2 linked regions of the Arabidopsis thaliana genome follow. The protein of the gene in region 2 interacts with the protein of the main gene of each other region in a pairwise test. Each region holds a gene or a part of one and is shown on either strand. Other genes may lie near its edges.

What was found.
Region 1: the proteins of APL (region 2) and AT3G58630 interact in a two-hybrid assay, tested with the Arabidopsis thaliana proteins (one large-scale study listed by BioGRID).

Annotation. Positions count from the first base shown.
Region 1 is NC_003074.8:21,677,703-21,693,704, forward strand, and holds AT3G58630 (sequence-specific DNA binding transcription factor), read right to left. Parts: upstream 8,338-16,002; 5' UTR 8,070-8,337; coding exon 7,145-8,069; coding exon of another isoform or gene 7,134-7,144; exon of another isoform or gene 6,267-7,133; coding exon 6,226-6,266; 3' UTR 6,224-6,225; intron 6,120-6,223; 3' UTR 5,828-6,119; downstream 1-5,827. Other genes in the region: TTL4 (tetratricopetide-repeat thioredoxin-like 4), read left to right, coding at 2,695-3,566, 3,637-3,832, 3,930-4,111, 4,215-4,551, 4,627-4,828, 4,914-5,020, 5,105-5,257; AT3G58640 (Mitogen activated protein kinase kinase kinase-like protein), read right to left, coding at 9,451-9,533, 9,633-9,705, 9,784-10,072, 10,264-10,420, 10,511-10,530, 10,638-10,761, 10,957-11,233, 11,607-11,727 and 8 more.
Region 2 is NC_003070.9:29,869,403-29,885,408, forward strand, and holds APL (Homeodomain-like superfamily protein), read right to left. Parts: upstream 9,878-16,006; 5' UTR 9,734-9,877; coding exon 9,559-9,733; exon of another isoform or gene 9,469-9,558; coding exon 9,392-9,468; intron 9,256-9,391; coding exon 9,189-9,255; intron 9,060-9,188; coding exon 8,993-9,059; intron 8,907-8,992; coding exon 8,864-8,906; intron 8,767-8,863; coding exon 8,119-8,766; 3' UTR 7,826-8,118; downstream 1-7,825. Other genes in the region: OCT5 (organic cation/carnitine transporter5), read right to left, coding at 1-182; AT1G79420 (C-type mannose receptor (DUF620)), read left to right, coding at 2,135-2,488, 2,904-3,263, 4,225-4,764; ALDH5F1 (aldehyde dehydrogenase 5F1), read right to left, coding at 13,123-13,161, 13,430-13,507, 13,580-13,686, 13,788-13,873, 13,998-14,098, 14,261-14,293, 14,393-14,425, 14,641-14,726 and 5 more. UniProt on the Arabidopsis thaliana protein: Transcription factor required for phloem identity. Has a dual role both in promoting phloem differentiation and in repressing xylem differentiation during vascular development. Regulates the expression of the transcription factor NAC045 (AC A4VCM0).

The sequences.
Region 1 (16,002 bases), on a different chromosome or scaffold from region 2:
TAGTGTGTGAAACTCTGAATGATTCTTCAAACAAGTAGTTTTTTCAGTAATAAAAAATGTCTCCAACTCCACATTTGAATAAGTTATTAGAACGAATAGTTTCTCCTTTAATATAATGTATATGACCCAGTTATTGGGTTTGCAACTTTGCATGTATATGTTCTATATATGTGTGAATATTTTTAACAAAAACTAAAATTAAATTGACAGATACTGCAGAGTTTACGACTAATAAGTTAACATCGTCATTTGGTGAAATCTTCAAGTGACCAAGGCAAAAGCATCACTGGAAAAAAAATCGATTTCCTACGCGATTACGGGAAACTTTTCCGCAACAGTGCAACCATTTCTCATTCATCCACAGTGATCGTGAAATATAGCACACGTCACCTTCGAATCTTACAAATGTGGGTCCATGTTCATCCAGCACAGCACCAACAATAATTAAGGCCTTGAGAAAGAAATTACGAGCATCACACTTCCATTAATTTTCTTAACAAATTATTAAACTTAATTATAGATAAAGTGTGTTCCCCAAACGGAGGGAAAAGGAGATTTTCTCTTCTTTTTTTTTCCCTTCTGTTTTTGTCTTTCCTTAATTATTTCTCCTTTGTTTTGTTTCTTTGAACCCAAATCTTGTTATTTTGTTTACTGAGTATGATGAACTTAACAATTAATTTAGTGACGGTCTAAGAAGATGTCAAGTGCCGTAATTACCAGCTAATTAAGTACTCAATTCCATATTTGAAATGTTATGTTACTCACCATTTCCTCTTTGTCGTTTTTATGATTGGGTCAAATGTTGCGGCCAACACCAGTACAAGTATCACAGATTTAAATTTAGCTTATGGGATCTTTCAACTAGTGCCTCACTTCTACTTGGGTGTGACTTTTTTCGATGTATTTTTTGGAGTGAATAATTCGATATTTGAGTTTAAAATGTTCATTATTGTTAGAGTGTGAAACAGTGAAAGGTGTCTCTCGGTCAATGATTTTTTTTTTTTTAGTCGGGGACCAAATTTTTATTTTCTATTTCTTATGAATAATGTACTTGATATTTCTATTTATTATACTTGCTATTTTGGGTCAAGGTTTGAAAAAAGCCGGTTCGATTGATCCAAAATTTGGAGACAATCATGTCACGGACCGTCCGGTATGGAGAAATTGCCCATATCGTCGGTTCGGCGGGATTGGGGGACCGCTTTCATAATATTCCGTCCGGTTCCGTTAAAATGTTTATTCGGCGTGCTTAGCTGGCAACTGTAGCGAAACAGCTGGCATGGTCACTCTCGCACGTGGCCAGCGTCGTCCTATATTTACTATTTTACCCCTATATAGCGCTTTCCTAATATTTCTGTTTTCTTCGTTCTACATCCATTTATTTTAGTAAGCTACGGAACCATAGAGTATATATAGAAATGGTAAATATATCAGAACACTGATTAAATTTTGATAAATGAATATTTGTGTTATTAATCCAAGAAAGAAGATAAAAATTAGCAGGCTTTTTCGAGTGAAATGCCAGCTATGCATCAGTAAATGAGCCTTCACTTCTCTTTTGCTTTATTTTCCCTATTTTTCTGCTTTTCTTTTCTGTTCTTTTGCCCTACTCTACATATAAAAATATGTTGTATTTTCCCATTTTCATGTGCAAACGAATATAATTTTTAACTTAGATCAATGTAAGTGTATATATATATAATAATTTCTATGAGCACATAAATTGATAGTCGTATGTAGTGGGAAAAAAAACACACGCAAACTTCAAAATCCAAATTTATTTTATGGCCTAAAAGTTGACTTTACCCTTTTGAGGTCTCTGACTCTAATACGAGGGGTCAAAATCCGAGGTGGCATTTTCGTTTCAAGCTGCATATACTCATTACACATTACAACAGTATTAATTTAAAATTTTGTAATAAATACATATGACGATCCATTTATTTTCTATGCGTTACATAATTTGATTCGTTTTCCATCATTTGCTTTCACAAAAAGAAAAGAAAAAAAAGAGTGATTCTTAATGGAAGTTGTCCTTATGTAGTATTTACACCGAACATATTATATGGTTGCATAGTAATTGTTTGAACCTAGATACAACAACAAGAAGAAGACACTTCTGAGTTTTTTTTTTCCTTTTTCTTTCCTGACTGTGCTTCATAAACATGTAAGATCTCGTATTTACCGCAAAAAAAAAATTCAAGATAACATTTTATTTTGACTTTTATGAATTCCGGATTTTTTTGTGGTCGGCAAATACAAGTTTCAATCTAGATTCTGTTCAAACATAAACAAACTCTAAAGTCAACCATTACATACAGACACAGACACAGTCAGTCTCTATAGTACATGATATCTAAAATGATTATATTTTTTTTAATAAAAATTTTGCATAAAATTACCGAATTTTTAGCAGACAAGCAGCCGTGAAACACACGGAAGTCGGGGAAGATAAGAGAAGCTCGTGATGAACACTAAGAAAGATCAATGTCTTAATCTGACAATTAGTCGTTTTACTTAAACTAATAATATTTTTTTAACGGTAATCTAAAATTATTTTTGATTTCAACATCTTCATTCTCATTCTTCTGCTTCCTTTTTATATATATCACAACAATCTCTCTTCTCTCTCTTCACCAATTCTTCTTCTTGATTCTCTGTGTTTATTGATTCTGAGGCTTTGGTTTCGAGAAGATGTCACATTATAGAAGACATTCGCTAGAACCTTCCATTACCAGTAAATTCCGTGATTCTTTGAGTTTCCAACGAGACGATGACGTCATCAACAAACCAGATTTCCGAGAACTCGATTTTGGTTCTCCGTTGAGGCCTCGTGGCTCCTCCTCCGCCGCTGCCACTCCCGCCGCTAGTGGCAGCAGTTCAAGCTCCTCTGGTTCTGCTTCCGGAAAACCCGCTGTCACTTCTCAGTTTGCTAGACGGAGTCACTCCGGCGAGCTTTCCGGTTTAAGCCAGACCAGTCCGGTTAAACCCGGATCCGTGAACCGGAATTTGAAACCGGGTCACAGAAGATCCGCTTCCGCTGGAACGCCGTTGATTTATTCCGGTTTGGGGTTCTCTCCGGTGAACAATAACAATAACAGTTCTCGCGGCGGAGGAAGCGGGGCTACTTCGCCGAACCCCGGCGTTTTACCTACCGGAAACATTTGTCCATCGGGAAGGATCTTAAAAACCGGAATGGCTACACGAGCCTCCGTTAGACCCGAGACTCTATGCACAGGCACGGCCAACTACGGCCACGGAAACATCATCCGCACCGGCGGAAAGGTGAGTCACGCGACGAAAGCGGCGGCGGAAATGAGTGACTCAGAGGAGGTGAAGAAGGCAGGTAACGTAATGTATAGGAAAGGGAATTACGCCGAGGCATTGGCTCTTTACGACAGAGCTATCTCATTGTCACCGGAAAATCCAGCTTATAGAAGCAATCGTGCGGCAGCGTTGGCTGCGTCAGGGAGGTTAGAAGAAGCAGTTAAAGAATGCCTTGAAGCTGTGAGATGTGATCCTTCTTACGCTAGAGCTCATCAGAGACTCGCTTCTCTTTATCTAAGGTAAAAAAAATTCTATCCTTTAAAAAGTTTTGATTGAAAAAGGATTAGTATTTGATTGGTTTGGTTTTAGATTGGGAGAAGCTGAGAATGCGAGACGTCATCTTTGTGTTTCCGGACAATGTCCCGATCAAGCTGATTTGCAGAGGTTGCAGACGCTTGAGAAGCATCTCAGACTGTGTACGGAGGCTCGAAAGATCGGTGATTGGAGAACGGTGATTAGCGAAATCGATGCAGCCATTGCAAATGGAGCTGATTCTTCTCCTCAGGTTAGAGATCAAAAAGTGGCATTGATTGCCTCTTTTGTGGTTGAATTATCAGCGAAAAGACTTTATCTTTTAAACAATGAGGTTTGATCTTGTGCAGCTTGTAGCTTGTAAAGCTGAAGCCTTTTTGCGGCTTCATCAGATAAAGGATTCAGATTTGTGTATATCCAGCATTCCGAGATTGGATCATCACCATACTCAACCACCTGAGAAACTATTTGGTATAGTATGTGATGCTTATGTGCTCTGTGTTCAAGCTCAAGTTGATATGGCGTTAGGAAGGTGAGCTTCGAAATGCTTAAACTTCGAATGGTGTTTTTGATTCTTTATTAGTAGTCTTGTTTGGTTCTTGGGTGAGTGAGTAGAGATGTTAGGTTTGTTGCAGATTTGAGAATGCGATTGTAAAGGTGGAGAGAGCCATGACGATTGATCATAGCAATAGTCCCGAGGTAGTATCGGTCTTAAACAATGTGAAGAATGTGGCGAAAGCTCGTACCCGAGGAAACGAGCTTTTTAGTTCGGGGAGATACTCGGAAGCGAGTGTGGCTTATGGGGACGGACTCAAGTTGGATGCTTTCAATTCGGTTTTGTATTGTAATAGAGCGGCATGTTGGTTTAAACTCGGTATGTGGGAGAAATCTGTTGATGATTGTAATCAAGCGCTAAGAATTCAGCCTAGTTACACCAAAGCTCTTCTCCGAAGAGCTGCTTCGTATGGAAAGGTTAGATTGAAGACACTGAATGGTTTTGAACCGAGTTTCTAATTAAGTATTTGGATTAACAAATGTTAAATGCAGCTTGGCCGATGGGAGGATGCGGTCAGAGATTATGAAGTATTGAGAAAGGAACTTCCAGGAGACAGTGAGGTTGCTGAGTCTTTACAGAGAGCAAGGAACGCTCTATCGAACAAATCCGAAGAACCTAAATATTTGGGATTCAATAACGAAGTTGAAGAAGTTTCGACCTTAGATAAGTTCAAGACCGCAACATCACTGCCCGGTATAAACTAGCTAACTCACTTTGCAAGTGTTAGTTTCAAGATTCCTCTCTTTGCTAAACAAAAAAAAATGGAAATATTTTTCAGGAATCTCTGTGTTTCATTTCAAATCATCATCAAACCGGCAAAGCGAAGCAATATCTCCATTCGTCAACACTTTATGCTTACGGTATCCATTAGTACATTTTTTCAAGGCAAGTCACTTGTTCTTATGCTCAATCGCGCAAAATGGTTATCGTTTTTGGTCTAACGCTTTAACGGGGTTTGTTTGTCTATAGGTGGACGTAGAGGAGAGCTTGGCATTGGCGAAAGCAGAGAGCATCAAGAAAATTCCAACGTTTAAGATTTATAAGAAGGGAGAGAAAGTGAAGGAAATGGTATGTCCTAGTCATCAGTTACTAGAGGACTCTGTTACGCATTTCCTCTTATAACATATCTCTCTTCTCATTCTTTCAAATCTTTAGTCTTCACGAACGTAAATTGATTCAAAGAGCCATTTTGTTAATTGAAATTTTCATTCTTTTGTTTTGCTTTACTGTATTATCATATTGAAACCTGCTCCGATTGTATTAATCCGAGGAAAATGCATGTTTCTCAATTATCGTTCATGCAAAAAGGCCCCAATTTAATGGTTCATTTGGTTTTCTTATTTTTGTTTGTTTTAGAAACTCTTACTTATTACAAATGGGTCCTGGTGGGCTGGGTTACTTGTAATAACACTGCTTTCAATAAAATATCCATTGACAAATAAACTATAGTTTCATAGAAGGAATTTGAGGCGCCAATACAGAACACAAACTATGACAAAGTCTCAATGAGAGCAAAAATGATTTGCCTCACATTTTGGGCAAAGGTTATGAATCTCAAGTTCTTAACATTTCATATTAAAGTCTCTTAAACTTAACATGTTATGGAGTTGAGAACTTGAGATTTGTAATAGATAAATAATGAATTACTAGGATATAGCGGTATATCCCTGAAGATTTTTTTTTTATTTTCCACCTCATTAAATCATAAATTAGAACACAAACTAAGAAATACCAAACAATACTAACCAATATAATTTTGCTGAAAACTGTTTCTTGTACTGTTTCATTGTGTAGATATACCAATATAACGTCACCAATTTTTTTTTCAATCCTGGGTTGGAATCGGAATCTTCTAAAAGGGTTAAAATTTACAAAACAAAGAGAAACTCATGTTTCTTTGTTACCATATCTTCTATTGGTTGGTGGAAGAACGCTGACTTTCTCTCATCTTCATCAAAATGGCTACAATCACAAACTCATGATGCTGCAAACAAAACCAACGACTTAGCCCAACAAGTCTACACATTTTGTACATAGGCAAAGTTTTGATCGACTAGGGAGTTTTAAATATAAATAAAGGAGTCGTACCTCTAGAAGTAACTAGGGAAATCCATCATCCCATAATCAAGAGCTGCATAAACAGAAAAAGTTCACTTATTATTCATACATAGACCTGCTGCTGATAATTTGTTCTAGTGGTCAAACATGTAATGCAAAGAGGAATTCATCAAATTAGCAGGTGACTAACAAGTAAAGAAATATGGACCAAGCGAAAACGAAAGAAACAAATGTCTGTCGTGTAATGCCATAGCCAAGTTGCAGGAAAGATTTGATGCATCCAAAAAAAAATCAAATTTTGTCTCCTGAGACTATATGTCAGAAACTAATGGTTGATGCATCCGAAAAATCCTTCCACATATCATGCATTCTCTTTTCAAACATCCATACCCATTATTTCCTAACTTTCGAAGCAGTTAGCATGTAAACTCACAATCTTCTCAATCAACTAACCAACAAAAAGGCTACTCTACACTCAAAACTTACTGGGCATCACACTCAAAACACTTCACAAAGCACTCATGCTTAACAACAAACAGAAGCAGATTCAAGTTTCTAGCTCATGAACTGCTTCCCAACTAATGCTCACATCAGTCATTGTAGAAAAACTTTCCACACTCAGACTATAATTACAAGAAACACAAGTAACAAAGCAACAACATCTAGGAGAAAAATGTAACCAGGACCTCCTCCTTACCATGAATACCAATACTTGCTACTAATTAGTTTATTTTTGTTCAGATTCATCATCTCTGTGCGATATCAATTTGTTCTTGTACTTTGATTGGGTTTATTATAGCCGTCGTTGGCACAGAGACTATCACAAGTAAAAAGGTAAAATTTGTTTCTACTCTTATGCTATAGTCACTGTTACACAGCTAAACAATGGAGAAAGACATAGAATTCTGAACAGATTACGAAATACGGCGAGAGAAAGGATTCAGGTCTCACCGGCGGAGGCGGAGGAAGTCGGTCCTTTGGAGCCAGAGGTACGCCGGAGCTTATGAAGACGTACCTGCATCTCCGTGAACAGTTGCATCCTATGGCATTCCAATTCCTTAGCGAATCTCATTCTCTGCTTCTCCAATTCAACCATTTCCTTCCTCTTCTTCTCCTCGACTCTCTCGTATATCTGTCCAAGCCTCTCAATTGCGTCGGCAACTTCCTTGTAGCCTTGCTTCTTCTCAATTTTCCTCTCCCGCTTCTTGTTACTCCCGCTACGACCGCTCGATCTAGACCTTGAACCTTCCGAGTCATCTTCAGACGCCGGACACGCCGCCGCCGCTGCGGCTGCCGCGAATGCGTTGAGATTCCCGCGAAATCCGAGTAAATCGTCACCGGCGTGAGGTATAATCGCCGGCGATGTCGCCGGACGTCTGGGGATCGCCGATCGTGGAGCGACCGGAACTGGATTAATGGACATCGGAAGTGATAGCCTCTGGTGCGGGATGTTATCAGTTGAATCAGGATTACTAGACGTCGGAAAGCTTTCCCGGAGAAGGTCATCGAGAGCGGAGAAGAAAGGCCAAGGGCTGATGTAGGCACCGGGATTGGATTCCGAAACCCTAGCCTTCTCGACTTTGTACTTCTTCTTCAGAGTATCGATCCGGTTTTTACACTGAACGTCGGTGCGATACGGCTGCGATTTGGCGGCGGAAACGTTTCGACCGGTGTTGTAGTGACGGTCGTTAACGGCGTTAGCCACCTCTTGCCAGTGTTTCTGACGGAGATTACCTCGGCTGAGGTCGACGTAGCGATTACCCCAGGCTTGGATGAGCGTGAAGGTCGCTTCCTCGCTCCAGCAATCTTCACGAGAAAGCGTCGCCGGCGAAGGTCGGGAAGATCCCGGCGAAAAGGAATCGTTGACGGTGTCCATTATAAGGTGAACGACGGCGAGTTAGATCGAAGAAGATGAACGGTGAGGATGAGATAAACGGAGGTGAACGGTGACAGTGACGGTAACGGAATTGAAGAGAAACGAAGTTCTTTTTTTTTAAAAAGACAAACCAGCGTTTTTGCTTTGTGTGCATGTACTAAACCGTGAGCCAGACTAAACGAGCCAGCTCTAGCTAATTTATATACATCGTTAATTTGGTTTTTATTTTTTAACAGCTAAAACGTTTTAATTTTTATTTTATTTTGTTAATGTTGACTACCGAACAAGATAATATTTCTCTATATTTTTTTTTCTTACAAAAGCTTTAAATATTCATTTTAATATGCAATTTGATAAGTCTAAAGTTAATTAGTAATATTATGTGTGGTAGTTCTAATTAAATTTCATTATGAATCGTTGGTAATATATTTTTTTTTTGGGTGAATCGTTGGTAATATAATATGTAAGTTTTGGTTGATATTTTCCTTTTTTTTTGTTGTCTAACTTAATTAGAATATGATAACGGTTCCAAATGAATTGGTATCACATCCTAAATAGTATGTAATTGACAAATTTATAGCATGGTGAAATTTCTGAAACTGTAGATTGTAGAGAAAAATCAAAGCTAATTAAAAAATCGGATATGGCTCGTTAGATGTTTGGTTTAGTTTCCGTAAAATGTAATGATAGTACTGCCAAGTAGAATATGATCAAACGATCTATTTTTGTAAGTTAATGACACATTGCTATATTAGAATAAGTTATTCTAAGTTTTGTGTGTTTAGGTGATAAGCTAAATGGGTAACGCGAACTACTAGTATCGTTGTTATATCACCGAATTTAAACTCGGTACTAGAATGTATGTTGTTGTCAAATAGGTAATGACAAATTACGGCTACGAACATAAAATCGTTTTTTCTTTAAATAACTAGAAGTTCTGCAAAAACTGTAGTTTGCTCTTTTTTCTTTGTCAATCAAAGCTCCTTTTCATTTCTTAAGGCACGAAATATAAACGAAAAGTACATGTATTTGTCCGTAATTTTCTTATAGCAAATGCAAAGCAGGGAACAAACCTTATGGTACGAAAAAGAGTAGCAAGCTTGATCATTTAAACTGAAAGAATGAGCAACTCTTCTCACCTTTTGTAAAATTTATAAGACTTACTTTTTTGTTTCAGAGGTTTTGAAATTTACGAATTTGCAAATGATTAAACGGAAAAGAGTTCCACAAAGCTTTTTGTGGATGTGAAAGCGCCAAAGTTCTTTTGTACAAACTCAAAGGAGAAAGCCAACAATATTCAAAAAAAAGAAACGAAGAAAACAAAAACCTCTCTCGCTGCAAAGTTTTATATTCACAGAAGGAAAATATGATTGAGAGAAAGTTAGCAAAGCGAATACTCACAATCCAGCAAACGAGAGAGTATCTCATTGCAACTCGGTCTTTGTTCCGGTTCTGTCCAACAATCTGCGAACAAGAGACAACACATCAGAAAAGGATACTCCATAAACCCCAAACAAAGCTTCAGGAAAAACGAAATAACAACACTTTGACAAGTCACAAGACCTGCAATAAGCTTTCCCAGTGGTCCTTCAGGAATCTCAAGCCGAGCTCCCTCGTAAGCAATAGCATAAACAACCTGAGAAGAAATATGAGGAAACTTGTTATATATACACATATGTCACTAAAGAGTCTTCTTCTTGTTCAGTTAAGTTACCCGTTCAGGCGGTACTCCTTCCCAAGGTCTGGTTAAAGTGCATAGCTCCCACATTATTACACCTAAACTGAAGATATCACACTTTTCTGAGAAGGGCTCATTGCGGATAAGTTCAGGAGCCATCCACTCTGGAGTTCCTGCAGAGACTGTGTCTCTCATTGTTGTCCCTGTCATTATTCTCGACAGCCCAAAATCACAGATCTTGACTGTCCATTTGTTGCTCAAAAGACAGTTTGCACTCTTTATATCACGGTGTACTATCCCCATCCGGTGTATACACATCAATCCCCTAGCAACATTTTACAAGTTTAAACGCTGTTTGTTAATTAAAGATGATTACGAAACTTTCTCATCGAGACACAATTCCAGGTCCTATTTGGAAGTGTTATTGCCTTCTCCTCAAACCAAAATTTTCCATATTAATACTACATACTATGTTGGAAAGAAGGATACACGGTTTTGTATGGAAGATGAAATTACCTGCAAATGTCCCGCAGCATCTTTAGCTTCCTCCGCCAGCTTAACCTCTTTTTTTGTCCACTCAAGTGGAGCAAGTAATACAAAGATCCCATTTCCATGTACTCAGTGATCAGTGATAATCGTGGAGGCTTTGTGCATGCTCCAAGGAACAGTATAACTACAAGAAGTCGAAGATGCATGCATTGATGAAAACATATACTAAAATCTCACAGTGAAAATTCATAGAGATAGATGAGTAGTTTAGTACCATTGGGATGTCTAAGTCGGCTAGTGGTTATTTGGACGCAGAAGGAGAAGGCAGGAAAGAAAGTCAGAAGACAAGTAAAGACGTTATTGCCAATTTTGAATAAAACAGAGAAAGCCTATAGACATACCTAAGAATTGATATCTCATTGCAGAAATCCTCCATGTTCTCAGCTGTAAGGTCTTGCTCAAGGAACACTTTGATAGCAACGTCTGTCCCGTTCCAGATCCCACGGAATACTTCTCCGAAAAATCCTGGAAGGAAAAATCAACGAAGAAGATTTAGATGGGTTACTAATTCAAAAAAAAAAAGTAAACTTTTGAAGATAGATAAATACGAGGGTAAGGATCGTGAAGTAAGATAACTAGACGTTTCTCTTAAGGAAACTTATGGCCAACAATTTTTTTAAGAACACATAAATTCGAAAACATTGAGCTAAAGATCCTAACCAATTCCGACACGTGTCCCAACAGTCAGCTCAGAGAAGTCTATGTTCCATTCTTCATAAGGTAATAATGGCTTATTCTGGAACATGGGAGATCCCAATACTTTATCCCAGATGTGGCTTATATTGCGATGTGACGATCCACTCTGTTCATATTGGCTTCGGTAGTTCTGGGGAGAAGAAGGTAGTGAGATTGCCTTCTGCGGATCTAGTGGTTCCCTTGAAAGTGTCGACCTTCCACCAGAAACTTGGTCATGGGCATCAAGATGAAAACCAGAGACCTAGAAGCAGAGAAGTCTAGTTAAGCCACAAATTTATAAGTCGTTATCCAAAATGAGTGAACGTTTCCAAGAATCATAATTTTAAGCATGTTTGATAAACATCTACTTGAAATTGATCATTGTGCGTTGTTGTTGAAACAGAAATTTTTATTTCCTAAAAATCACAACGCAGCATATTCTAGGATTTTTCTTTCATTTCGTGAAATTCAGGACTTCCACTTTCAACTTAGTCAACGAGAAAAGAGACACGGTTTGGTATTCTGTTGCAGCCCAAGTTTCTTTGTTTTCAGTAAAACTATTATGATTCCAAGCAAGCAGCATAGCCAAATTTCTCAATATATTTCAGTGATGTATATTAATAAGCTTAGCGTACATTTTTCTGGAGATGAGAGCTCTCGGTTCTGTCATTTGGAGAGTTAGGAGATGAATCATCATCCCCTTGCTCTTTTGAGAGGCGATTCTGCTTCAAGGCTTCATTCATCGCTCGTACTGCCCTGATAAAGATTAACAGGTAATTTTAAAAATAAAGTTATCAATATAATAATTACCAAAAACACTGAAGCTCCGTGTTCCAAATAGTTAATGGTCAATAAATCTGAATGAGAGGTAACAACCATTGCAATTGCTAAAACTTTTAGTTCCATATATGGAATGTTATACAATCACATGCTCGTGCAGTGATGTATGAGATCCCAAGTTAGAAAAAGAACGCCCCTCTCTTGGCATTCTTTTAATATTTACCATAAGAGTGTACCATTAATTTTGTCCTAAACATCATGTATGAAATCACAACTGAGAAAAAAATATATGGTGAAACTGTATACAACTGCAACCTATCACTGGAAATAATTATATATTGAAGTCAGAGAAGAATGTTATGAGGGGAACTATATATGTAACCCAAAATGCAGATAGTTAAAAAAAACATCATACTAGCTTTGCCATGCACATGAAGTTCAATGAGCAATAAACTAAACACCCACCTGACAATATCATCGCCAATCTCAGGAGTTATACTGATGCTTCTCCTCCTTATTCTCTTAGTTTCCATTTTTGCTCCTCCAACAGATTTGCAGCTGCACGTGAAAACTGAATACATAAGCATTTTTTTAACAAACTTTAGGCATGAGAACAAGGTTCTCTGACACCCACAAAAACTAGACAAAAGAACTCGGTAAGCACTAAACGAGACACCAACAAACAACATACCCTCTTGCAGCAATATATTGCATATTTATAAAACTAAAAGCTCAAATCAAGTCTGCAAAGACCTCTCCAACATAATCTAAGTTACAAAGGACAAAAACCATAACGAACCTTGATGTGGCAACATCCCCGGTGAAATCTCGTGCCAAGTTCTTGTCGCCACTTAGCATGGACTTTGTACGGGCTCGGAAGGAAAGATGTTCGGGACTTCAGACGAGATATATCAAAAACGATCTAAGAAATTAGATTGGAACTTGGTTCAAAAATGCATATACATATACAATTCAACGGGGATGAGAGTACCTGGAACTAGCAGTCCGCTGATCAGCAATGACCTTCCTCCGGCTCTGCCGCCAAAACTCGTTAGCCATGTTTGACTCGCTCTGTGAGAAACTGAAGAATAAAAGATAAATACTAATGACATACGGTCATCTATTCCACTGCTTGGTTTACCAGAAGCTATATTCAAACCTGGGGTTGGTTAGCACAAAAAAATAATAATAACAAGTAGGCTTATCACCTTAATTTCCTCTCTAGCGCAGAGGCAGATCGTAACAGCATATTCCTTGATGGTGGACCAGACGTATTTGGAGACCCATCCAGTTTCCTGTGCAACGAAAGGTTTTCATCTTTTTCTGCACTGTACAACACCAATCATTAGAAACTCTGCACAACAAAACACTGAGTATTGAACAGAAGGTGCAGTAAAATATGGTACACACTATACTTATATCCTGCATGTTCATGCAGTGAGATTTTACAATTTAAAACTTCAACATCTACTTACTTTTCATGGTCAAATTTCTCTGGATAACCAAACATGGGACTGTTTGGCTCCAAAGGTGAATCACAAGAGTCATTCTCTGCAGAATCACTTTCCCCTGCCGCTGAGATATGACTCATAAAAATTGCTTTGGTTGATAGAGGAATAAGCTGACCAGGAAATCGCATTAGGTCAACCAGCATTTCCACAGAATTCAGCAAAACAGTGACAGAAATATGACTATATGAGTCCACACTCTCAGCAGCTCCATCACTTGGCAAACCCTGATCAAACAAATCAGTCATAATGCAAAGGATGTTAAAAGGTGATCAAAATATTCAGAAATTTAAGCCACGATGAATACTTTTTTCGAGAATAACATTAATCAAACCTAATCAATCACAAGCCAAAATGGAGTGATACTCAAGCCCACTGATCACATTTTTGTATGGTACTTAGCACTTACCACTACAAGTCGACTTTGCAGGCCAACAGTATCAGCTAAGACTTTGAACAAGATTGCTCGAGGACGACAAGAACCATGCTTGATCTGTCCTAGCAGTTGAATACCACAGTTTTCAAATGACTGCGTACTTTTTGCTGGACTCTGCAGAGTTGATTGCTTATAAACATCTGCTACCTGCCAGCCAATTTCGACAAAGGTTTTCAGATAAGTAAAAGGAGTTAACAAGATTTATGAAATGCTTGCTCTTACCGCATCAATAACAATTCAATGTCCCCTGTATAGACTAATAGGGGATACAAGAGAAAAAGTCAAGCAAACAAAGATACGTATTTCCTAATTTAACGCTTTTCCCAAGTAAGCACAACTTACAAGTGGAATTAGAGAAAGATTGAAGGCAAGAATCTAAATAGTCTGGGGAACTTTATCTTGAACCACAGCAGGATTCTATTGATAGTTTCACCAATTTTGAAAACATAGAAGACGTTAAGATCAATGTGGCTTCTATTAGTATTATAACGGACACTCTCAGCATCACTTTTCATTAGACAGACAACTAGTCACAACTCTTCCTACCTCAATTTTTATCCATTTATGATCACTGTTTTTGCATGCAACTTTAAAATGGAAAAACAATATGGTTATTAAGTGATTTCATACATGAAACAAATTTTGAGCATGTCGATTATAAAAGATATGTCAAATACTCTTACCAGTCCAGCAATTTTCTTAATAATAGTAGCTGGCTTTGAGTTCAATCCACTGACAAGTTTGGTAATCAACTGCTTCTGCCTGAAAAGCTTTTTATCTTTCTGAAAATCAACTAGAATCACATCAGCCTTAAGACCTTCGTCACCCAGAGCATGAAGATCTTCCAATGTAGGAATGTTATTAAATAGCTGCTTCAATCTATTATCCTGTAGAAGATTGAAATATAAACATTGTCAAAGGAAGCAAATAAAAAAGATTCTTGACAGGTAACAGAAGTTAATCGAGTTCGAATGAATTTCACTCAAAAAATCATTGAACAGATCTAATATCAAAATAAAAGTAGCTTACCGGGATCACAGAGTAGAAGCCATTTGGGATGGGCTCAGAAAGTGAACCAGTACTCCAAAGAATATTCGAAGCAGTACTAGATGGCAGCCCATCTTGCCCAAGATTTCTAGGTGAGTCTTTAGTACTAGATGTCTCTTCTTGCGATCCCAGATAAACAGAACCAAATTTCTCCACAAATTCTGAAGGCCACCAGGTTTGATTAGAAGGTCCTTGCTCTGATGGCCCAGCATCATCTCCCGTCTCTCCCATTGCCAATTTCCTTAATGTCTATAGTTATATCAGCCCCTACTTATCCCATAAACGGAACAGTCGAAAAAAGAAGGAAATCCTAGAGACCAAAATATTGAGAATCAAACTTCATTTACCAGTAGCCCTTAAGCTGGAGGTCATTTGATCTGCGTTCACAGAGACGAAAATGGTAATTAAAAACTACGATGGTCATAAAAAAAATGGAAACAAAGAAGGCGGAGATTTTAATGAATTCATAGATACACATTGAAGAAACAAACTAGTTGAACTTGTTTTTCCACATCACAACCTAACTAGTGCAGTGCCAAATAGAGGAAATTTCAAACGTTCTCCTCTTCAACGATGGCTGCATCAAATATTTTCTAAAGGATCAATCTAAGCTTTAACACCAAACATCTCACTGGATGCATAAAATGATCCATTATCAGCCAAAAATACAAAACAAGAAGCGGAAAATAAGAGTTAACGATAAGAAAAACCATCAGCATTTCAACAAGAACAATAGAATTCCACTCTCATAATCCAATCTCACTCTCAAGTCAACGAGAGAATCTCTTAAGGATCTTAACTGAATATAGCAAACCAACATAGATCCCATGAGTATCCTCGTGTACTAAATACCACAATTCTACATAAACTTACTCCCGAATAGAACAGTTCATAAGTGCGATCTACCCAGAAACTCAGTTTCAACACGAAAGCAATCCTAACACAGAACCCACCATAACTTAAAACCGATACGAAAGCAAACACCATCTAGAAACACACCTAAGCTCGATCCAATACATAGCTCAAAGTGCCACAAACATGAATCACAATTCGAGAGAACAAAAAAAAGAGGAGAAAAGTTCAAAAAGGGTTTTTGTAAAATCACCGTAATCAGATCCACGCATTCAATTTCCGATCGAACTTCCGATTGACGAGTAAACGAAATCAAATAACAAAATCGATCTCACTGCGAAGATAGATTCAGCAAAAATCTCGATCAAAGACAACAAAGAGCTATGCGTTTTCGTACACACATACAAA
Region 2 (16,006 bases):
GTGATGAATATCTGCTGAGAGTCAAAGGTTAGCGCGAGCCCAACGAGAACTATCTGTAAGAACTGCGAGAATCCGAAATCAGACAAGCTTTTCTCGAGGATCTTGTCGAAAGTCAGAGGTGAAGAAGTGTCTTCATCTTCTTCAATGTGGGTGGGCAACAATGGTGCCAACGAATCCGCCATGGTTGCTTACTTTGATCGATCTTGTTGAGAATGTGAGAATTATTACATCAAAATTAAAAACAAACAACTAGTACTTTTGAAAATATATAATGTGTGGTCAAGAGATCTGATCTTTGATGATCAATGAGAAATTGTTTTTTTCTTGTTTGTTTTTGTCTTTTTGAACAAACTGTTTAAGATTTGTATCTGTGCGGGCCTTTTTGTGTTAAACTATGACCAATAATAATTGAAGCACAATATAAATACATAGTTGCTGATGTAAGTACATGCGACATATCAACATGGACACTTCTGCTTATAAATTCATACTGGGCCGTTAAGTAAAGCCCATTTTAATTGGTTACTCAAATTGAGAAGTCTACCGCTCACGTGTGGCCCACGATAAGTACGTTATGCTTCCACATGTTGCAGAGAATTGTGAAACTTGACCACTCAACTCTTAACATCTCGCCGATAATTTTTTGTTTTTGTTTTTTTTGTTTTTGTCATAATTCGCCAAGAAATTATGTTATATATAATATAACGAATAAAGAAAGGGGACTATCAAATTGAATAGTAAAATAAATTATTATAAGCTTGGCTTATAAGATTATCTATGTTCATCTACCGCCACCATTCTCACTGGTGACTTGCCACCTTGTGTTGAATATGCATATATTATATATACATATTGTTCAAATGTTTATTATTCATTTGATATGCATTAGGGTTATGTTGTTAGTATTATGTTTTAGGTATTAACTAATCACTATTTCAATATTTTCAAATAATCTTATTTATGTATGCATAATTTTTTTATCCACATTTATATGAGATTATAGGAAAATTAGTGCTCAATGTTTTGGTTTCTATGAGGAATTTAAGTGAGTTCGAATCCCAAGACATCCGGAGAATAAAAGGTGAAAAAGAACAACAAAAATAAAAGATAAAAATTGTATTTGATATAGTATCTTTTAAATGGGCCCTTTATAAAAAGACACAACATCTCTTATTTGACAAAAAGAAAACTACAAACAGTATTAAAAATTCATTAATCCACAGTAATATATATCACTGGGTGTAGTGTCATTTTCCAAGAAAGATCATACCTAGAGATCGTAATTACAATTAAATTAAAATGATTAGCCTAGATATCCTCGAAAGACAAGACAAAGATCATATGCTAATCGAGCTAATATGATATTCAAATTTAAAGGACCAAAAAAGTGTGTGATCGAAGACTCAAAAGGAGAGCCCATAGTGTACAAAAAGAAACTGCACGGATCGGATCTATTCACATGACTCGGATTTTATTCCATGTTATTAGTCGCTGTTCCACATTTCCTTTCCACGTATGACTAATTATAGATACATTGTCTCTTCAAGATAGATAGATAACATATTTGCAGAAAACAAGTTGGGAAACACACACATTTGTAACATAACTCTTGATTTTCCATACGACAAAATAAAACCATATAATACAGTTAAATGACAAGACAAATTCATATAAAACTTACATAATTTTGTCACATATATAGCTGAATGCTGAATATACAAAAATCAATATCACGCAGAATACTTACACGGTTTACCAATTATATAAAACATAGTCTATTACTATTAGACGCAGATTATATAACATACAACAAGTAGCCATACGTAGTTTCAAGAATTAATTAAATTTTTAAAGAAACCTTAAAACCCCAAATAAGTTATTTTTTATTGTCAATATTCGAACTAATTACTATAAGCTTCTTCCCATGAATTTAAAATTATAATGTTAAACTTCTGGGACCGCTAGACTGATAAAATGTCCCTTTTGTCTCTCTCTACACACATATACATCTCTATACATATATATAAATACGCCAATAATCGCTATCCATTACAAAAACCATTGTGTTAGATATTCAAACAAAAAAAAAGAACGTCACAAACATCAGACTGATCACCATCACTCTTTGATTAGAATGAGCAACTCAAAGTCATACTGGAGAAAGCAAAGATGGGGAACGCCGCCACAAGCCCTAACACCGTTAATGGAAGGACCAGATCCAGACATGCAAGACGAAAGAACCAAGAAGGAGAGCTCATGGGAAGCAATTAGAGAATGGTTTAAGGTTCATAAGGGCATTTCTGGAAATATGTCATCTCCTTCGGTCCAACCACTTTGCAACAGCTATGACGTGCCAGCTAAGGGACAAGACTTGAGGCTCTTGCTCGGCGTCTTGGGTTGTCCTCTTGCTCCAATCTCCGTTGTCGTCTCTGACCTATTTCCCGATGACCCTCTTCTTGGTTCTTTCCAAATCAAGAATGTCCCATTTGTGAGTATTACTAATTATTCCCTCTCTTTGGTTTATATTTATTTATTTATTTTCAGTATACAAATTTTATTTGTGTTTCTTAATTTATTATATTTCTATCTTGTTCCTTTGAGAAAAAGAAAAAAAAAATATTTTCTGGTTATTTGTTGTGTCGAAATTTCAAACGGTAGGTTTATATTAATTATTTGAATTGGCCAAACAAAGTCGTCTGAATAGTTATCTTTGAGATAAGATTGGTTGAAAAAATGTTCAAAGGTTAATAATTTTGTTATGGGCCAAAACATGTGAAATCAACATGTAATTTGTTTGTCTGTTAAAACATCACTGAGACCAATGATTTTTTTTGCCATTTGATTATGCAAAGTAATTAGTATGATGTGGATTGTTAATTAATAATACATAAGTATAATTACAGGAGACGTCGACAGCGCATTATATAATACAACAATACTTAGCGGCGACGGGATGTCTAAAGCGAGCGAAGGCGGCGAAAAACATGTACGCGACGGGGATAATGAAAATGAGTTGCTGTGAGACGGAGATAGCCGCCGGAAAAAGTGTGAAGACACTAGGCGGTGGTGGAAACGGTAGGAGCGGAGATAGTGGTTGCTTCGTGCTGTGGCAGATGCAGCCTGGAATGTGGTCTCTGGAGCTTGTTCTCGGTGGAACTAAACTCATCTCTGGCTCGGACGGTAAAACAGTTTGGCGCCATACGCCATGGCTCGGTACTCACGCCGCTAAAGGCCCTCAACGTCCACTTCGTCGTCTAATCCAGGTAATTTCATGTTGATAATTACTCGAAAATACTACAAAACATAACTTTAGTTAGTAAAAATAGTATTAACATTGATTTAGAAGAAAATAATTGCATAAACTTGGCAAAAAGGAGAGATGACGTAATAAGATTGTCCAAGAGATAAGGACGTGGTAGGAAAAAGAGTGGTCGCTGTCCAATAAGCTAATAATATTATTTGAAAAAAAAAACAAATACTAACCTGACAAGTGATGGAGAAGCTGTCTCCTCCTTTTGCTTGCTTTCTCTTGAAACTTCAAAATCAAACAAAACCCCATTCACCCACTCTTGACTCTCCCACCACCACACGTGGTTTTCTCCTTTCTTGTCACGTGACGTCATCTGTTATTGAATCGTATATTTGTTTTTTTTGTTCTTTAAGATTAGTCCGTATACTTACTATTTACAAAATGTTTTGCTAATGGTTCAAGTTTTAGTTCCTTTTTTAGCAAGGTATGAGGTTCTTGTCCTAGATTATTTATTATTATTGGGGTATTTCTAAAAGATAGTGAAATAATTAAATTGTCAGAGATTCAGAGCGCATTGTTAAGTGACTGTGTACAATTATTGGTTTAAATAATATGACATTATACTAATAGTATTGAAACCCTATGTAATGTACTATATGCTTCATCATGAATACGATCTTACACATTCATTCAATTTTTAAAGTGGGGGAACTTCTTGGGATTATCAAAGTTTGTCTTTCACTTTATCTTTCTTTCTTTCTTTCTTTCTTTTAAATCTTTTGCTTTATTGTTCTTGTCGTTCAAACCCCAACGAATATTTGCCGGACACATTTTTCTTGGATAGTAGTATAATTTATTTAAATTAAGTAACACAAAATCAATATATTTGTGAATTTCCTTTTCTGTTTTTTTTGATAAAGATATTTGTGAATATTTTTTTAATAAACCCGTTTGTTTTTGTAATTGGGCTACAGGGCTTGGACCCAAAAACCACAGCAAGCCTATTCGCAAAGGCCCAATGCTTAGGCGAACGAAGAATCGGCGACGATGACTGTTTCGTGCTCAAAGTCTCCGCCGATCGTGACTCGTTGTTAGAACGGAATGACGCCGGAGCTCCGGCGGAGGTTATACGCCACGCACTGTACGGATACTTCTGTCAGAAAAGCGGTCTATTAGTCTATTTAGAGGATTCGCACCTCACTAGGGTTATGACGATCTCGCCTGAGGACGAGGCGGTTTACTGGGAGACGACGATCGGAACAAGCATCGGAGATTACCGTGACGTTGACGGAGTAGCCGTCGCGCATTGTGGTCGTGCCGTCGCGACGGTGTTCCGATTTGGGGAGACGTCGTTGCAGTATAGCAGAACGAGGATGGAGGAGATTTGGAGGATAGACGACGTCGTTTTCGATGTGCCTGGTCTCTCTTTGGACTCCTTTATTCCTCCCGCCGATATATTTGAAGATACTAACCCTAACAATAATAATATTTACAGTATTGTTAATTCCCGATGATTATGTGGACTAGTTTAATAACCAGAAAACAATTTTATTGGTGGGTTAATTCGTTGATGGTATATGTATGTACATGTTTGTTCTATAAAATCTAAAAATCCATGTTTTGTTATTTTGGGTTGTAAGCTTGTAAGATTATGACGAGTTCTAATATTGGATTGGGTTGGAGAAATCAGAATCGTTCGTTTAAAAGTTATTGGATTTTAAGTAAAAACCATTCATTTTCCTGAAATTAAATCAAGCAAAAAAAAATCATACAAACTAACTAAGGCCTCAGATTTCCCTTAATGATACCCATATTATTCCTGGTACAAGAGAGTCAAATCAGAACCCACGACATGAGTACTCTAATTTTTCTCCATAAATTTCTGAATAAAACCCTATATGCGGAAATTTAGTGATATGAGCAACCAGTCAAACAATTTCTAAGGTTAACTTGGTTACTAAAAGTCTACGATTAATTCTCAAGATCGGAAATGGTCACAACACGAAACCAGAATCGTCATTACCGCCAATCGGATTGATGATTCTCAACTAGGGATTTTCCTTTTTCGTACTAGGGAGGATATATAACATTCTTATTGGACTTATCTTAGTGGGCATTATATGGAAGCCCAGTCTGATTCTTCAGCGTAAACAAGAAACTGATGCAAATGGGCTTTTCTTCTCTATTCTTTTTTTTTTTTTTTAATGTAACAAATCTAATGATTTATTTTTCTTTCCGTAATAAAAATATATGAATAGTTATTTGAATTTTTTGGAAAATACTCAAAATAGGTTAGAACTTAGAAGTAATGGAAAAATGACGACAGTAGAGAAAGAAGGGACAAGAAAAATAGATGCTTCGGGAATGTACTTTGTTAAGAGAGCATTCTACATCAACACATACCAAAAATAAAGTATCATTTTGAAAAATATAGAATATCAAAAAGAAGTATATTATCTTCTTCTTCTTCTTTTTTTTTTTTTTTTGGAAAACAGAAGAAGTAAGGGAGTAGAAAATGGAATCCAAGGTCGAGATCGTAATGAGGTGCCTACAGAGGATTTGTATGGAAGAATGTGCATAGACCATCCAAGACCGTTACCTTTATTACTTTATTTGTTTATTATAAGTACTTTAGTTTGCTTAACAACCATAATAATTACCATATGATATGTGTACAAACATTAGCTTTACTATTAGCCTATTTAAAATTATGATATACAAGTAAAGCTACGATCACATGCACGTTTATGCATGTGAATGCGAAAAAAAAAAGTAACAGAATGAGATGTTCAGATGGATATATATTAAAAAGCACCGAATAGTTATAATAATTAACTTGTGGTTGGTGTGATTTTATTGTGAAATGAATATTCACAAAACATGCATCATCGTCATTTCGTCGGATCCACTTTGTATATAATGCATCTTCACAATTAAATTGATTATTGTACCATAACTAATTTATTGATAAAGTATATGATATTTCAAATGTATCCCCAAATAATAATTATTTTTAGTTATAATTTATATAGTATTTTTATAATAATAAATAAATAAAAGAAATTTATCTGATTTATTTTTTTTTGTTTTTAATTATTATTACATGGTCGTCTACTCTTTTTTGTCTTCAAATCCAATTAATTAAATAGAAGGAAAAAAACCGAGGAACGTAATTAGAGGGAATTAGTGGGGGCGTATGTAAAAGGAGAAGAGAAGCTTCCTCGAGAAGTGCATACATGGGAGTGCGTTAATATCTCTATGCTTCTCCTTCTTCTTCTTCAATTCTCTTTTTGCCTTTTGTTTTCCTCAGCTTTTAGAGAGAGTGAGAGAGACTGAGAGAGCTTTCTCTTTTACTTGCCAACTTGCAGTGATGACCAGATCTTTATATTTTCTCTCTCTGAACCCAACAAAGTTGATCAGTAATAATTTATATAAACATATACATATATGAGCCGTAATTTGTAGTTGTGACTAAATGGATGCATCGAGTAAGTAAAAATCATAGCAGAGCAAAAATTCTGAATTACAAACATTTTTTCCCGATGTTTGTAAGATCTATAACTAAGCTCCTGAAATTCAATTAAGAATGATCAGTGTAATAATTTTCTTTTGTATAAATATATGTCCTAATTAGTGGTCATATGAAGCAGAAAAGAAATAAAAGAATAAAGAACAAAGATATATACGGAAGGAAAGATAGATACTCAGTGTCGGTTAATTTCTCTTATGACAAGTTCTTTTATTTCTTTTGAAAAGGATCTTGTAGCTATCAATCTCTACATACACACTTACTTACATATGCGTACAACTGCATACACATATACATAGTAGTATCCTACAAAATCAAGTGACTATATATACATTTGAATCAAAGTTTACAGCTTTTCTTGGTGTTTGCATGTGGTTTTCCCAAAACCCTAAAAACCTTTTGCTTTGATGGGGATCATCATCATCATTATCACTTGCGCTGTCCTTTCTTTTTCGTATTTACTTATGATTTTTTTTTACCATAAACTTTATTTTTAAGTTTGATTGAAAATTTAGTTTCCCGATGCAGATATCCCATTTTAGCGTAATCATATATAAGGCATCAAGTACAAACTAACTTGAGATAGAAATAACTAACTCATGAAAAAGCAAAGGGCCCTTCAAAAGCTTTAAAATATCGTACATGCCTTGAAACATGAGCAACCTAGCTCTTAACACATAAATGTTTATTATTTGTCATATATACAGTTACGTTCATGCATGGGATATATATACTGGTTAAGGTAATATACATATGTACTGATTTATCATATACATGTACTAGATATACTTTAGTACATTCACATTTTATATGCCTCTAATTGGCAAACTGTCAAATATGAAAATCGTACAAGTATGTACATATGAAATAAAATTGCGGATGTAAGAAATTAAACTTAATTTATTTGAAATTGCCATTAAAAAAAGCTATCAAACATAGAATATGAAAATAGCTAGTTAACCATAAAAGGCAACTACAGATTTTATGTGGGTGATAAAAGAATAACAAAACATATATTCGGCAATTCTACTGAGACTAACAATGTAAAGATCAATCATCAAACAGTTGACTAGAAGAAATAAGTAACGAATAAGTACAAAATATATAGATCCTAAAATATTATAAGAACAGCAATAATATATAGTTTCCGTACAGATTATAAAACACGAGCAAAACTAATCCGGTAAACATAACAAAGCTTATATATTTTTTATTTTTTTTTGTTTTGTTTTGTTTTGTCTCATCTCTAAACCCTACGTCAAACTCACAATGACAAAACATATATATCTCGTTCTTACATTCCCATGCATCACTCATAGATAAAAATTAATAAATTGTATCACCCAAATGGCGAGTTTCTTCCTTGTATTAATCCACCATTAGGGTTCATCATAGGACTCAATGGTGATCTCCTAGGCGATGGCCTTTCCAGTAATTTCCCACCATTATTCCCTTCATCACCTGATAAACCTGATTTCCTTTCGTAGATCTCCGACAAAGAATCCAAATCCGTGGAGACATGTGTAGCCATCTGTATCTGAATTCTATGCTCATCATCGATCGATTGGTTTGCGGAAAGATCGTGATCTTGATCAGACCACATCAATAGTCCTTTCCTTACATCGTTACCAAAATTAGGATTAGGTCGCTTCTTCCCCAAGTAAATGTTGGTGTCTGCAGCATTGTTACCCGTGAAATGGTTCTCTATGTTTTGATGATGGAAGTTGTGATGGTCGAGGACTTGGTCGGTTGTGTTTCCATAGATGTTTAGGTCTTGAAACGGCGGGAAACTAAGAGGATGAGGAGGTGGGCCCACCGCTGCTGAAAGACTCGAACTTCCCAGATTACCCTTGTATCCTCCTCCGACGGCGGCTGCTGCGGTGGCGGCTGCCATGTTCTCACCGGCTAGGGTTTGGCAAGCTCTCTCCAAGATAGATTGCATGTACTTTCCTTGTGCTTCAATCCTCAGTTGCAGATGTCTTTGCACCTATAAAAATTGAATGAAATCATTTACTATATTTATGGGATACAAATTGATTTTGTACAAGCAGTTATCATAGAATATCTATAGGTTAATTAATTACCTCTAGCTGTTCATGCAACCTTCTCTGCACTTCCATTTGCATCCTGATCAAACCAACCTGGTGTGAGTTGCTGTAATATATATTAAAATGAAAGTTGAGAAAATTAACGAAATCTGATTAAAATATTACTCATTCATGTTGCGACTCATCATGCCAGAAGAAGAAGCTACGTTGCGCTGAATATCCATGGCAGAAGCTACACGTACGGTAAAAAAAATTAGAAGAAGACGGATCAAAGAACATATATATACATTAATACATATCTATATTATGGGTAACTTTTTTATAAAAACCCTAATTTGATAGAGAAAGGAAGAGTGGTCACCTCTTGAACCTTCCTTTGTGGAGTGATCTCCGTACTCCTTGTGCGGCTGCTTTCCAAGCCTGAATTTCTGCACCCATAGATCCAAATAAGTTGTTAGATTATTATATTATATTATTAAGTGAAAAAAAGAATAGAAAAGATAAAGAGGAGAGAAAATTAAAAGCAAGGAAGAAAAAAACCCTAATCTATATTTGTGTACATACCTGAAGATGGCTCTTTAGGTGGTAAAGAGTAAGACCCTTCACACCCATAACTCTCATAATCGTCTTTGGGGTCGCTTCTGCAAATAGAAATGATCAAAAACTTTGAAAAAACACATTTATAATTGGTTAAATGGATTGAATATATATTTGTGTATGTGTGTTCATACTGTCGGGGCCGCCGAGCTGAGCGACGGCGTCCACAAAACGCTCGTGGAGTTCGACGGTCCAACGCAAACGCGGTTTAGGGTCGGTGGTGAGGACAAGGCCTGAATCGCCTTGAACGCACATAGCTCTGTTCTCATATGAACCATTCATACTTGAAGGTTTCTTAGCATGGAACATTCTCTCTCTCTCTCTCTCTGACTCTCTTTCTCTCTCTGAAAGAGGGGATTCAAGAAACGAATGTGATGCAAAAATGTGAGAGAATACGATGCGTTTTTGAAGAGATCAGATGACGGCTTTTTTTTCTCTCTCTCGTCTTTTTTGTTTTGTTTGTAAATAAATTATGGTTTAGTTAAATATGTTTTATCGTTAGTAAGGAAGAGAACTAAAGTTTCAGACTAGTACACAGACGTTCCTTTGTGAAAAGATACTGTCGCTATCTTTTTCATTTGTGTTTTTTATCCTCTTAGCTTGAATACCTTTGAATTTCTTTCAATATAAAATGTGTGTAAAAGCCACTATACGTATACATTAAGTAAATCATGTCTGTCTCAGATTATTAAATTACTGCGCAAACTTAAAATAATAGTATATATTAGATATTAAATTGATATCTTTGGGGGAAATTGAATTTTGAACATCGGAGATCTCATATCAAAACGGTTATGGATGTGACGACGAAAAAAACAAAAAAAAAAGACGAAAAAAAGCGGTTACGGATGTATCTAATATATATGCATGATTTGTTGCATGATGGTTTTTATTTCTTTATTTCCTGATATAAACATTAAAATGACTTGAGATATCTAAGTTAAAATATAATTCACCTGAATCAAAGATATTGCACATCTATTATTCTTATATTTTTGGTTTCTTTTTCTTTACTACCTTATAATTTAGAAGTAATTTTTAAATCCAAATTTATCATACAATTGTTCTATATACTATTTTCTTAATCATGCTTGATTTGGAGTAAATAGTAATCAAAGATTTGTAAATATTTTCTTTATAGGAAAATATAAACTTTTAAAGTGAATATATTAAAGTTCTATGTATTCTATTCAATTAAGACCGCACGAGGAGAGTCGTATACTAGACTTATAGTTTGTCTACATCGTCATATATCGTAATTGGAGGCATACATACAAATATCTTAACGAAACAAATTCCACAAGGCTAGGGATTTTATCATTTATGGTAGGGTAAACCTTTTTGGCTAATTATGAGGTGAATATACAATTCTAAGCAATGATGAGCTTCGTTATAAATTAATAGACCGTATATTTTTGGAACAAATTTATTATATACATGCAATCCAAAACCGTTAGGTACGGTGGAATATTTGTCTACGACAAAAACGTTTTCCATTCATCGATTAGTAAAAGATGTAGTTTACATCCGCAATTAACTAGCTAGCAAAAGAAAAAAGAAACAAAAAGGTGAACAAACGAGATAATTAACTAAATTACTTGTATGGACACTACAAACCAGAAAATCAACTTTGTTAATATTGCCCTATTAGCTACTAAACTAGCTTATGTATAGAACGACGATGCATTTTTCAATATACAAACTAAAATCATATATAATTCATATACGCAACGATTTAGATTAACCCCTAAATTCAATTGCATGCATGTAAAATAAATGGTCAACCTAAATATATATGAGTGGGAGGTCCCATAGCATATTTACATAGAACAAGAATAAGTCAATGAATATGGCTGAGGCTGATATGCACACACAAAAAAGAGAGAATATTATCTAAGAATAAAATTTGAATTGAATCAGAAATTTATTAGAGGTTATATATTAAGTATTAATTAAGGGAAAGCATGTACATGTTAAAATGTAGACCAATACCAGTCAATGAATATTGAATTAAAACAAAAAAATTAACATAAGAATATGGAACAATTTTTTAAAGTTATACATATTATAAACACGGACTATTAATATGTGGAGAATTATGCATCAATGTGTAAAGATAGAGTTAACGTTGGGGACCTCTTCTTCTACTTATTAAAGCTCTTTTATTCTTTTTATTTTTACCATATGTTTTTCTTCTTTTCTCCATTTTAATTTATTGGTTAAAGCTTGCTGGGGCTATAACCTTTTTTGGCTTTTGTAGGACTGACGATTGTGCAGCTATACATGGTAACACATTTTTCAGATATTAATTTCTTGGAATAAATAAAAAAACAGTGTTTTTCTTTGCCAGAAATGTTAAAAATCTTGGCTGTGAAACGAATTATTTGTACAATAAATTAAATTAATCAATTACCGCACACAATTCTGACCAAGATAAAATAAGAAAATGGTTATAACTTTTGAATTTAAATATTAAATCAAAGTTCAAATTGCATGAGAATTGGAATCGATTCTTCTCCTCTTTGATGAATAAAGATAGATTCTTATTGCGCCAACAATATTAAAAAATGAAAATACAACTCCCGCGATAGATGCCAACCGTATAAACTTGGCCAGCCACATTTACATAGTTTACTAGACTTTTTATTTTTTCTTACCACTTTTTGAGTATAGATACACACATATATTATTCCTACTTATATTATCACGATATTTGTGTTTTCACAATCATCATCACTATTATCTACAAAATTGATTCATAGTGATATGATGCATATTAGCATTAGCAAATCATCCGCCCTAAAATCATTTAAGTTCTCATCTTTCTTTATTAATGTTTTCAATAATGATTTTAAGCTAAATTGTATTTTGCTTTGAAAAAAAGAAACCAAAGTTTTTGTTTTTAGTTAAACCAAGTAAAGCTAATGTTTAACTTTTAGCTAATTGTTGTTGAAGCAAACTAAGAGCTTAAAGAAAGAAAGAAATGAAATTAGTGACAATAAAGTAAGTCGGCTTATAAAAAAATAGAGGCCACAGTTGCTTGAACTTCAAGCATCTTTTTGTGATGGTGCTTTGGGATTTCTTCTCCGAAATGAATATATTCCTTCTAACCTTCTTATCTTTTCCCCACTTAAAAAAACTACAAACAAAAATAAAATCCCAACTTTGGCATAGAGCCATGTAATCTAACGCTATTTTGAAACATAACTGATCCAATTTTTTTGAATAATTAATATTTTAATATATAACACTAAATTCGATAAATCGATCGACTGTTAATAAGTCATAATCCTCCAAAACATTGTCACATGAGACATAAAGCGTTTATAAATAGTAATGACAAGATACTGATGAAAAAAGAAAAATAAACCCAATCGATTTCTAAAAATTGCTGATAAATGAAGCAAAGAACAACAACGTTTATTTTTTTATTTTTTTGGGTATATCCAAAGCAAAAATTGTCCGAATTACAAAAATTAACGTAAAACAAAGAAAAAAATAACGTAAACAAAGATAAATAAAATGGAAACCCCAAATTATTACTTAAAAATCATGCTAACAATTGGTCGTAGACCAAATCTTTATTTCTTAAGAAGTATCCTCCGAATCCTTATTATGTTCCACAGTAAGCTTTTATTAGAAGGATACGAGTGGAGGAGAAAAACTTACAATTTCTAAAGCTTTTCAAACAAACCAAATCAGTGTCTATTCATATCTCCCAAGCATACGTATTTGATCTGCGTCAAAGCCAAGAGCCCAGAATCAATAAATGAAAAGTAGTAATTTGCAAAACTTTATGCTTATAAACAATTCAAAAGACAGATTCGCATCGATAGTCTCTGTGTTATAGTTGGAGTTTGGGAGCAATCGCATGACAGGAAAATGTAAAACTAACCACCTATAAGGCTATAACCTTGCAGACTTTATTACGTAGATTTCTAATATTATATAAGACCTATCAACTGAAGCGAGTTCAATAAGAGAGAAATGAGTGTTGTGAGTTACCTCAAGGTATTCGTCCATACCATACTTGGATCCTTCCCTTCCAAGACCAGACTGCTTCACTCCCCCGAATGGAGCCACCTGCAATCAAAAGATGTAAGCATATGTATGGCTATAATTAGGAGAACGTGGTTCTTTCATCCCTGGTCTTACCTCTGTTGATATGAGTCCTTCGTTCACCCCTACAAGTCCATATTCAAGTGCTTCAAATACACGCCAAGATCTTTGGACACTGTTTGTGAATATATAAGCAGCAAGTCCTGCACACACATACACACACAAGACACATTTCCACTTATTATGTTAGCCTAAGACTCGACAAGTAAAAGAAAAAGGTTACCAAGATTAAATGAGGACAAACCTGCAATTGTGTCATTAGCAATTCTGATAGCGTCCTCCTCGGTTTTGAACCGAATAAGGGGAGCTACAGGTCCAAAAATCTCCTCCCTAGAAAAAGTAAATTAGTTCTTCTGATCACAAAAATGCGAGGAACACTATGTTTCTATAACTCGTTCTTTAGAGATACAAGAAGCTGTAACACTGCAATTATGTGAAATTTTTCAGTACTTACTTAGACATGATCATGTTATCCGAAACATCGCGGATAACAGTAGGCTCATAGAAAGTCATCCCTAGACTGTGCCTTTTGCCACCAATGATGATTTTTGCTCCCTTTAAAAAGAAGACACCAATAAATAAGATTTTACTTGAACAGAGTACTTGTGTTAGTATTGGCAATACAAGAATTGTTTTTGGCTGAATACAAATAGAATATATGAACTGCATTGCTTAGAAATCAAGGATTAGCAAGGATGCATAAGGTAAAATACAAACCTTAGAAACAGCATCTTGTACAAATGTCTCTACCTGAAATTATCAAGCATGAAGACTATAAACATTCTGTCATCAAACATTATTGTTGTGCATGAAAAACGGAATCTGCAAAGTATTATTAATAGAATGTACCTTTTGCACTGCTGCATCATTTATAAGTGGACCCTGTAAGAATTTTGAAGCGACAAATAGATTAACAGCAAAATAGTAGAGCACACAAGAGACTCAGTTAATTTTAAAATCAAATCGCTTGGGATGCTACTCGACAGAACGTAGAAATAAGGTACATGAACGTGAAATTCTCATATTTCTTGTAACCCCCTCAATCATCAAGGGTATAACATCACAAAGCAGAAGCATAAGATCGAAAAAGGACATACCTGGGTTGTCCCATCCCTAAACCCATCTCCTACTTCTAATTTTTGAACCGCTTCAGAAAAGGCCTCAGCAAATTTATCATAGATACCTGCGGAAAAAATATAATTATATTAACACTGGATGCAAGATCCTGAGGGGTGTGCCGAGTATCCCAATTCTTACCATCTTGCACAAGTACTCTGTTCGCACAAACACATGTCTGACCACTATTCCTAAATTTCGCTGCAAGCTGCAATCACAGATCAAATGGGTAATATAATGTTTTAGGGTATTGAAGATCCCATAGTGCACCACTAAGAAAATTGAGCTTGAAACTAAGAGCTGGGATAGGTGGATCATGGACATAAGTATCTATATAAGCAGTAAAACTATATACACATCTAGTATGGAAAAGAGACGGGATACTGTCAGTTCTGAGTAATTCCAGATGAATCAACGTTTTTGCATCTTTTGGATAAAGAAATGCCTTCAACCTTATGACTATTACTTACCGTTCCTTTTACAGCTACATCCAGGTCTGCATCATCAAATACTATAGAGGGTGCGTTGCCGCCAAGTTCTAGAGAAACCTACACCAATAAAAAAGAAGAGGTACCAGGGGGTATTCAATCTAGATTCTAGAGAATATTATTTTAAATAGCATGATATCGTTGCTTAAGTATACCTTCTTGACGGTAGGTGCAGCAGCTGCCATCAACTTCTTCCCAACTGCTGTTGATCCCGTGAACGTGATTTTTCTCACCTGAGTAGCACGAGAAACAAAAGCAGTCAATTAATAAGGATACTTATCAAAATTCACTACTAGTGGCATAGATACAAATAACAGAATGTACACAAATATGATTAGAGAAACCTGTGGACTCGTAAGCAAAGCATCCCCAATTTCAGGAGCATTTCCCATGACCACATTAAGTGCCCCCTATTGAAAATAATAATGCAAATGAAACATGAAGTGTTACAAATACAAAAAAAAAAAAAAAAAAAAAAGAGCAAAACCCTAAAGAGATGGTCTGCCCAAAGAGTTCATTAGCACAAAAGAAACTTCGTAAAAAACTAGCCTTTAAACCACTTAATCCTACATCAATGGGTCCATACATCAGATAGTAGCCACATTGACGACAATACAAACTCTTGGAGATGGGCTGATCAAATATTCAAATCAGATTACATGTAAAACGGAAAGACTACTGTGTTCGAACTTAACACATTATTGGTTATTTCCCTGACATGAGGAAATCCATCTAGATGTGACCAGAGACGCTAGTTGGTTGTATAGTTCAAGCCTAATATAAAAGATTACCGGAGGAACTCCAGCTTGAAGTGCAAGTTCAGCCGCAGCAAGTGCTGTTAGGGGCGTAAGTTCAGATG